Oryzias latipes: one gene and its partner. The protein of the gene in region 1 interacts with the protein of each later gene in a biochemical or structural test. Links are inferred from orthologs where the notes say so. Each region holds a gene or a part of one and is shown in the gene's direction. Other genes may lie near its edges.

Region 1 (4,309 bases):
GGAGTGTGAGCCGCAGGTAGCAGAGAGGGGGCGGAGTTAAGTCCTCTGTACAGCAAATGGATGGAAGTCAGACACAGATGTCAGAAAAGAGAAGGATGCTCGTTGGAGCGTGGTGGAACTCAGGAGTCTAGGGCTCAGTCACAAGCACTCTTGATTTTGCAACCCAAAAAACTGGTCTCCAGGAGGGTCTCTGGGAAATGGTTCCAAAATTGCAGAGGTGCAGGGGCTTATGAGGCTTGGGGCAGAACGGTGATGCAGGGAAACAGGAGCAGAAAACGGCCATAGCAGCATGGAGCTGAGAGCAGAATGGCTGGGCAGGTTAGCTGGAAGCGCGGCTGAGTGGCGAGCAGACAGGTAGGCGAGCAGGCAGAGGACAGAGCAGGTGAGTTGACTGAATGCTTGCAGTGCAACGATCCAGCAGAGAGTGAGGGGCAGAAGCAGTGATACCTAAAAGAAAAAAAATACTCATCACTCACCTTCAGCAAGCCAAATAACCAGCTGTTACTTTTGCTCATGGCGGACCACCTCTGGTGGGATATTTATGGTGGTCTTCTAGTTGTCAAGTCTTTCCCACATTGAACCAAACTGAACCCATTTAAAGACATTTGGGGAACCTGTACTGGTGTTTTGAGTTCAGTAGATGATGGTGAAACTGTAAGAAATATTCAGAATTTGAGCAGATTTCTCCACTCGATCAGGATTTTGCGAAATCCTGTTTTCTAGGGTTTTATGAGCTGGAACCTCAATTTATGTAAAAAAAACAACAACTTAACAATTAAACCTGGACCCTGAATCTATACTCTATGAAAGCTTAGTTCTAAAATGGAATTATAAAAAAATGAAAACACTTTTCCATGTATTTTATTAAGTGTCTGTACATTGCCACACAAGTGAGCTCATATAAATGATGGTTTAGGTTTTTGGTGTCTCTGGAACCTAATGTGAACCTGAGAATGTAGGAAAAAACAAAAAAAACGTTAATAAATAAAAGCAAACCAACACTGACATGTATAAAAAAGACAAAAAGAGTCAAACAAAGAACAATGGATCCAAGTAGAAAAGACACCAAAGGAAATTCAACCCAAGAAAGACACTGAACACAATGAAAACCCGCCTGTTGTTCAACCTAACAACAAGGAAGAGAGGACAATATCCTTTATTTGTCATGATCATTGTACGCCTTTCTCGTGCACTCTGCTGGAGAGTGCCGCATGTTCGATCCCTCCCTCAGCTGTCAGCGGCTGAACCGTCCTCCTGTCACGTTGACGGCGGTGGAACTTGAAGAACTTGAGTTAACTTCCTCGACATTTTGTGCATCGTCGACGCACAGACGATCTTTCTGCTGATTGGACGGAGAGCTGGGCGGGGGCGGGGACATTTGGTACACCGTACGCGCTGTGATTGGCTGAGGCTTGATAGTGGGCCGTGCCCGACGCCGGTGTCTCCCTGGTTGCGCAAGACGCCATTTTGGAGTGACAGTGAAAGATAACCTAAAGACCAGCAAGCTGTCTTTTTAAAGGTAAAAACCACCAGAACCAATTACTTTTTTTACTCTGTATGCCGTTTTATGAGAGTGAGTTCAAACTCGACCTAAATGATCAAATTTTGGTGTGGTTTTGCGTGACGTCATGCTGTTCTCTATGTAATGTGACGCGGCATCGAGCTAACGGCGGCTAGCTAGCTAGCTACGGTGGTTTCTGGATCGACTGACAAGAAAAAAACGAGTAAAAGATACTCACTTTACACGACACATATTACACCAACGGGCTTATTTATACGTCAACCTTTAACTTCGTGGATACGTACCGCCTGTTCGTTGTTGACAGAATGATTTCGCACGGACCAAACCCAGTCTTTAGCCGTTAGCAGCAGGCTAGGCTCAAGTCGAAGCATCCGCCCTATAGTCAAGCTAACCATCAGTTGGTAATGGGTGGTGACAGCACAAACTTTCTGATTTCCTTTAAAACAAACTGTTACATTTGATATATGACTGCTGCCCGTAAAAGGAAAATACTGCTATTTTATTTTTTACTATTCTTCAGTCGTTTACTGACTGACAAGGCCCCAGTCATCTGTTAGCTGTGCGGTTAGCCGGCTGTCCGAAGTATTCGTCCGTCCAGTTTGCTGCGGACTCCATTAAAACACGCAATTTATGGTCCTGGAGCTCGCACGTCAAGTCGAGATAGAAGTTAGGGGAAATATTTAGTTTGTTGATGCTGGCCACATTGAGTTTCGATCCTAATAGCCGAAAAACTTTGATAAATGACATTTTCACTAAAAATCCCAATGAAAACACATCTGATGTGTTTATGTAGACCTTCACAACTCCCACGTTAAGGAAAGCAGTTATGCACATCAGTCTGGAGATTTACCTTAAACCGTGAATGCCTCCCAAATTATATTTAGGGTCATCGATGCTCTGGTACTGTCATTGATTACCTACAGATGACTAGGACTCTAGGTCAAACTATATGTCTGAATAGTTATTTTGATGGTGCAGATGTAAAACAGTTTAGCCAAAGTGAACATTTAACTCTATATCTCTAAATTTCTGTTATTGAGTCTAAAACACGACAGCGTTGCTTCAATCCTACTATTATTGTCTGTTATGATGTTCATTTATGTGTTGGTTTTCTTCTACTATTTCTGTACGAGTACTAAAATGTTGTAGTTATTTACTTTTGTTGTTTTCCAGCTCTGTCATTATGGGGAATGTATTTGCAAGCTTATTCAAGGGCCTTTTTGGCAAAAAAGAGATGAGAATTCTAATGGTTGGGCTGGATGCTGCTGGAAAAACGACTATCCTTTATAAACTAAAGCTTGGAGAGATCGTCACCACCATCCCCACCATCGGTAGGATTTCTGTTTGCAATGGATCGTTTTTCATGTCAAAACGCTGCATGGATCTGTTCATCCTGAAACTGTCTTAGTGAGAGAGATATTGTTAAACCCAAAAAGCAAAATGTTATATTAATGATATATAGGTTACGCCAAAATTGTTGTCGGGATTTTTTTTAAAAATTGCGTTGAACGAAGTCTGTTCTGATCTCAACAGAAACAGCAGTAACAGCAGTGGATTGCTAAAAACATTGCAATTTCATAACCTCTCTGTTTCTGCATACAATGCATTTTGCTGCAGTATTCTGTGCTTGAATAACACAAATCTTCTGGTTTCTCAATTAGTTTCTCCAAGCTGACACTGAACTCATCACTGTTTACCTGTATTTCATGGTTTTTGAGTTAACCATTGTGTGTCTAAGTCAATACTCCGGCTGTCTGGATAGAAAACATTTACACCGTCAGCCATCAGAGCTGACTTTCAGCTCGTTTCCACAAAATCTAAACATATTGTGGCCAAAGATTTTTACAAGGAGATGCATTTTGCTGCCTTTGATCCTAGTTATTCACGGCTGTTATTGTTGCTTCCTGGTGAATTCTTTCAGCTCGATCTGTGGATCGGCCCAGATCACATTCAGCTGGATGAGTTCAGATAAACGTATGAAAACGGAGACGTTTCAGCTCCACGTGGGCTTTTCTCTGCTTATTTGTAATATCTCTGTTCTGCACGTTTTGGTAGCTTTAGTGTTGATTTAAACGTTTAGTTAAAAATGTATTTTATCAGCCTTATCATCTGAGAACATTTTTAAAAGATTGAAAAAAATGACATTTAGAATGATTTAGTTTATGAATTTGTAATGAACAAAGATATTGACAATTAATGCTTTTAACAATGGAGATACTCTGTGGTAAACTTGAAATCCAATTAAAATGATAATTTATGACCTGTTTAATGTAACCTGGGGAGCCTTTCAGATCCGTGTCTGCCACTAAGCCTGTCCTCATTTGTGCAGGTTTTAACGTTGAAACGGTAGAATACAAGAACATCAGCTTCACGGTGTGGGATGTGGGCGGTCAGGACAAAATCAGGCCGCTGTGGCGCCACTACTTCCAGAACACTCAAGGTAAGGGCCGACTGTTGGAGCGCATTACTGCCTATAGGGGGCCTAACTTCTGCGCTGAAGATGATCTGAACGCTGCTGGACCGATGACTCATACTTTTGTTCAATTCTTCTAAGGGTTTATTGTTTGACTCCTCCTTTTTCCTGACATTAAAGTCGTCAGCAACTATTAGGGCTATTTGAGTTTTTCCTGCCTAGAAAATCAACAGTTGGTGTAACAGTTAGGTTTCAGAGACAAACCTCCACGTCTGGTTTTCCTCTCTATATTTCTCTGTCAGGGCTTTTCTTTTTTATTTTGTCAATTTTAATATAAAAACAAACGTTTTTAAGCTTTTGGGAACGACATCACC
Region 2 (3,650 bases), on another chromosome or scaffold:
GAACACTGCAGTGTCAGCCTCACCCCCAACCCCCCCCCCCCCTCCCTCTTTATGTCTCACTCGGCGGCGCAGCCCCGTCATAAATCTGATCAGAGGGGAGACGTTTCCATTAGATGGAATGGCAGCAGAACTGAGATTGATGGGTAAAGTTAAATTGCATTAACCATGTAGTTTAAATATTTAGCATGGCCTTATCATAACTGCTCTTAACACTAAAATACAGCCCGCCGTGTTCAGCGGCGACAGCTTCTGTGTTGCACTGATTCTTGTCACAGGAGTTCATTACATCAAACACTTCATCAGCTGATTGAGGTTGGCACTCTTCCACAAACGAAGCATCGCCGGAGCGGTATTGATCGCTCGCCTTTGCCGTTTATCGCCTGTTTTTGTTCTGAAGGGCGCCGCAGAGGCTCCTCTTAACACGTCCGCGGCGGCCCCTCTCTTCTCACTGCCCTTGGCCCGGCCTCGCGTCGCCCCGGAGGCAAATGTTTACGACCGGCTCCTCGTTACCGAAGTTGGGGGGTCTTTAACGAGGCCAATTAAAACAATGGCTTCATCTGGGAGAATATGAAACGGGCCGGTGTTTATTGGAACAGAGATAATGGAGTCACTAAAGTCTTAACTCTCTCCTGACTCCTTCAACATCAAACTCTTGAGAAATGTCTGGGCTTTGATTTCAACCTGCTCTAACCAGGAAAACGCCCAAAAAACCACAAGAAAAAATGACCGTACCAAGCTAAAAACACTTTTTGTTGCCACTTGAATTATTTCAAAAGAATTGATATATTTTAGTGCAAATATGATTGTTAAACTAATCAGTGTCAAGATAATTAAAAATAAAGTTATATAATTTTCCTTTTATCAGCTTAAAATTTAGGTTTCAAAGCCTAATGGTCCATCGACGTACATCTACCTCCTTTTATAAGTCAGGGTTAAGATTGATGGAATTTGTCCTAATTGTCTGTTAAAGTATTGATTGGACTCCCCTGTGTCTAATATGAAGGAGGAAAACAAAACCATCATCAGATGTCAGACTGATCGCCGCTCATCCTTGGGACTTTGAATGGTTTCCCCCAAATTTGAGCAAATGTGTCTTTGATTTTGGCTCTCTGATAAAACTCTGTCCTAATTTTAAACCAGTTCACCCAGAACACTTTACAGCTTTGTCCTCGTTGTAAAATCACTGCGGTGGAAAAAAAAAAGGTTAAAGCTCAATAAAAAGGAGGCAGGAGCATGGTCTGGGGTTTTTATTTGGATGGCTACAGCCTGGTGGTGGCACTGTTTGGGAAAAAAGTCACGTATTTTTTTATTTTTGCTTGTGTTGCAGTTGCTCAGAAGATTGTGGCTACTAGGAAGAAGCAGCAGCTATCCATCGGGCCATGCAAGTCGCTCCCCAACTCCCCCAGCCACTCCTCTGTGTGTACGACTCAAGTGTCAGCAGTGCAACTGAGCCAGGTCAGAGGTCACACTCTCACTATGAAAAAAAAAAATTTTTTTGTTCTTTATTTTTTTTTTAAATGACAAATCAAAACTAGTTGATGTCTTATCCATTTCAAAATGGGGGCTTTTCTGTTGGTTTTATCTCCATGGTTACCATTTTGTTTTTGTGGCCACCTGGGGGTGAAAAACACAATCTATGGTTATGTCCAAATTCCCACCTTTACCCCCCAACTACTGAAAAAAACCATATAGTGTGGCACTATGTAGTGCCCTGAATTCTGACACCATGCTCACTACTTTTTTTTTGTTTTGTTTTTTTTAACGGCAGATATGACGTCATTGATTCCATGAAGTTCAAATCTAAATGATATGAGCGTTTTGCGACGATATTTTATGAATCAACCGTCTTCTGAAGATAAAAATGTTTATGGTTTACCAAAAAAAAAGCATTTTAAAACATTTTTTGGGCAAAAATTGTTCCAACGCAATGCATTGTGGTCTGTATTCGCCGATCTAGTGAGCATCGATGCACAGAGACTTCTGGGAAATTTCAAGGGCACTGGATTTTGGATTTGTAGATTCAGACAGCTCTACAAAATGGCAAACGCACTATACAGTGCACAATATATAGTGCACTATATGTAGTATACGTAGTGCACTATATAGTGCACTGATATAGTACATAGTACTATATAGTACATAGTAGTATATAGTACATAGTTCCTTATGTAGTAAGTAGGGAAGTTTTTTTGAGGAATCAGCAGAAGTAAATTGTTGGTTTTTTTTGTTAACCACGCCCACATTCCTAATGTGATCATATTGTATGTCATATTGTTTGTCTAGGTTGAGAGAAGGAGTCACGTATGAAATTTTCACAATATTCCAAAAAAACATGCGACACAACTTTTGTAAACTCTCCATGCTGACGCCATTGAAACCAACATTTTCTCCCCAAGTAGCTTCCCAATAATGATATAGAGTCGGGAGGCGATAGATCGAAATTCCCAAATTTGTCAAAGATGCTAAAGGTAGATTTTTATTCTTTTCAAAGATGGTAGCTTCTTTCGGAGGTCAAAGGTCAACGAAACTTCAGCTGGGGTTTTAGATTTAACCTGGCAGCTTGTGTGTGAAACTTTGCTCAAACAAGTTTGTTTTTTTACACCATATTGTGGAAAAATGTGAAAACGTTCGCACTTTGCCAAAACATAGTCGCCAAGCTATAGGTCGTCTTACTATGGTCATCCCATAATAACGTCCAAGCTACATATCTCTGTTTTGGTTTGGTTTGGGGATTTTTGAGCCCCATAAAAGATTTTTTCCTTTTTTGTAGCGCAGGGGGGTGGGTTTACTATCCCCAAAAATTCAATATCTGAGTGTCTGAATTTCTAAGATCAAATGTGCAGTGAGAAAGAAGAATAGCTGAAAGAAACATTCTGGTCCTTGCAGTTCTGCGTACCATAAAAAACATCTAAAAATGTTTTTGAAAACAAGCTAAACAAACGTATATTTAGGTTACTTTTTACCTTTGGAATCGATGGGTAGTCCCTATTGAATTCCGGTCAGAACAGTCCAGTTTGCCACAGAAAATGTAATTGAGTTAACACCAATGGAACCTCTGGTGAGCATGTCATTAAAAGAATATGACACCACACTTGAGCTGCTATGCAGAGTGGAGTACAAAAGACAATCATGTCAGACATCATGAAGGTGCTAAACATGATAAACACCCTCAAATCAGGGTTGAAGGCCTCCCAACTGGTATGTTTGCAGCTTTAGTGTGTGACAGAAAAGAGCAGTGATGCTATCATCACGCTCCCATCTTCATCCTTCAGTCCTCCATCGATTCCTCATTAAAGAGCCATCGCTCAGCCTCACCGTCCCCTGGGAGCCATGTTTATCTTCCCTCTACATCCTCTGCAGAGTCGGGCCTTCTGCTTGTGTGTTGACTCCCTAACAGGGGAGCGTTTTCCCTCCAAACAGCCCTAATCGTGACGCTCATCTGAAGCTCTCTGTTTTCTCTGCCCTTTTCTCCTCGCAGACGAGTAACGGCGGCGGCAGTTTGAGTGACTACTCATCGTCGGTGCCGTCCACGCCCAGCACCAGCCAGAAGGAGCTGCGTATCGACGTCCCGCCCGCCACCAACACTCCCACGCCGGTCCGGAAGCAGTCCAAACGCCGCTCCAACCTCTTCACGGTACATTGACAACACT

The links. The genes of interacting proteins can lie anywhere in the genome.
Region 2: of the proteins of ADP-ribosylation factor 1 (region 1) and arf-GAP with GTPase, ANK repeat and PH domain-containing protein 1, one has a biochemical effect on the other in vitro, tested with the Homo sapiens proteins (2 studies listed by BioGRID, with this or other methods). The link is inferred for Oryzias latipes from reciprocal best matches to the Homo sapiens genes ARF1 and AGAP1.

Annotation. Positions count from the first base shown.
Region 1 is NC_019877.2:22,747,993-22,752,301, reverse strand, and holds the start of ADP-ribosylation factor 1, read left to right. Parts: upstream 1-1,387; 5' UTR 1,388-1,519; intron 1,520-2,695; 5' UTR 2,696-2,705; coding exon 2,706-2,853; intron 2,854-3,851; coding exon 3,852-3,962; intron 3,963-4,309. UniProt on the Homo sapiens protein: Small GTPase involved in protein trafficking between different compartments. Modulates vesicle budding and uncoating within the Golgi complex. In its GTP-bound form, triggers the recruitment of coatomer proteins to the Golgi membrane.
Region 2 is NC_019860.2:10,865,861-10,869,510, forward strand, and holds part of arf-GAP with GTPase, ANK repeat and PH domain-containing protein 1, read left to right. Parts: intron 1-1,327; coding exon 1,328-1,455; intron 1,456-3,478; coding exon 3,479-3,634; intron 3,635-3,650. UniProt on the Homo sapiens protein: GTPase-activating protein for ARF1 and, to a lesser extent, ARF5. Directly and specifically regulates the adapter protein 3 (AP-3)-dependent trafficking of proteins in the endosomal-lysosomal system.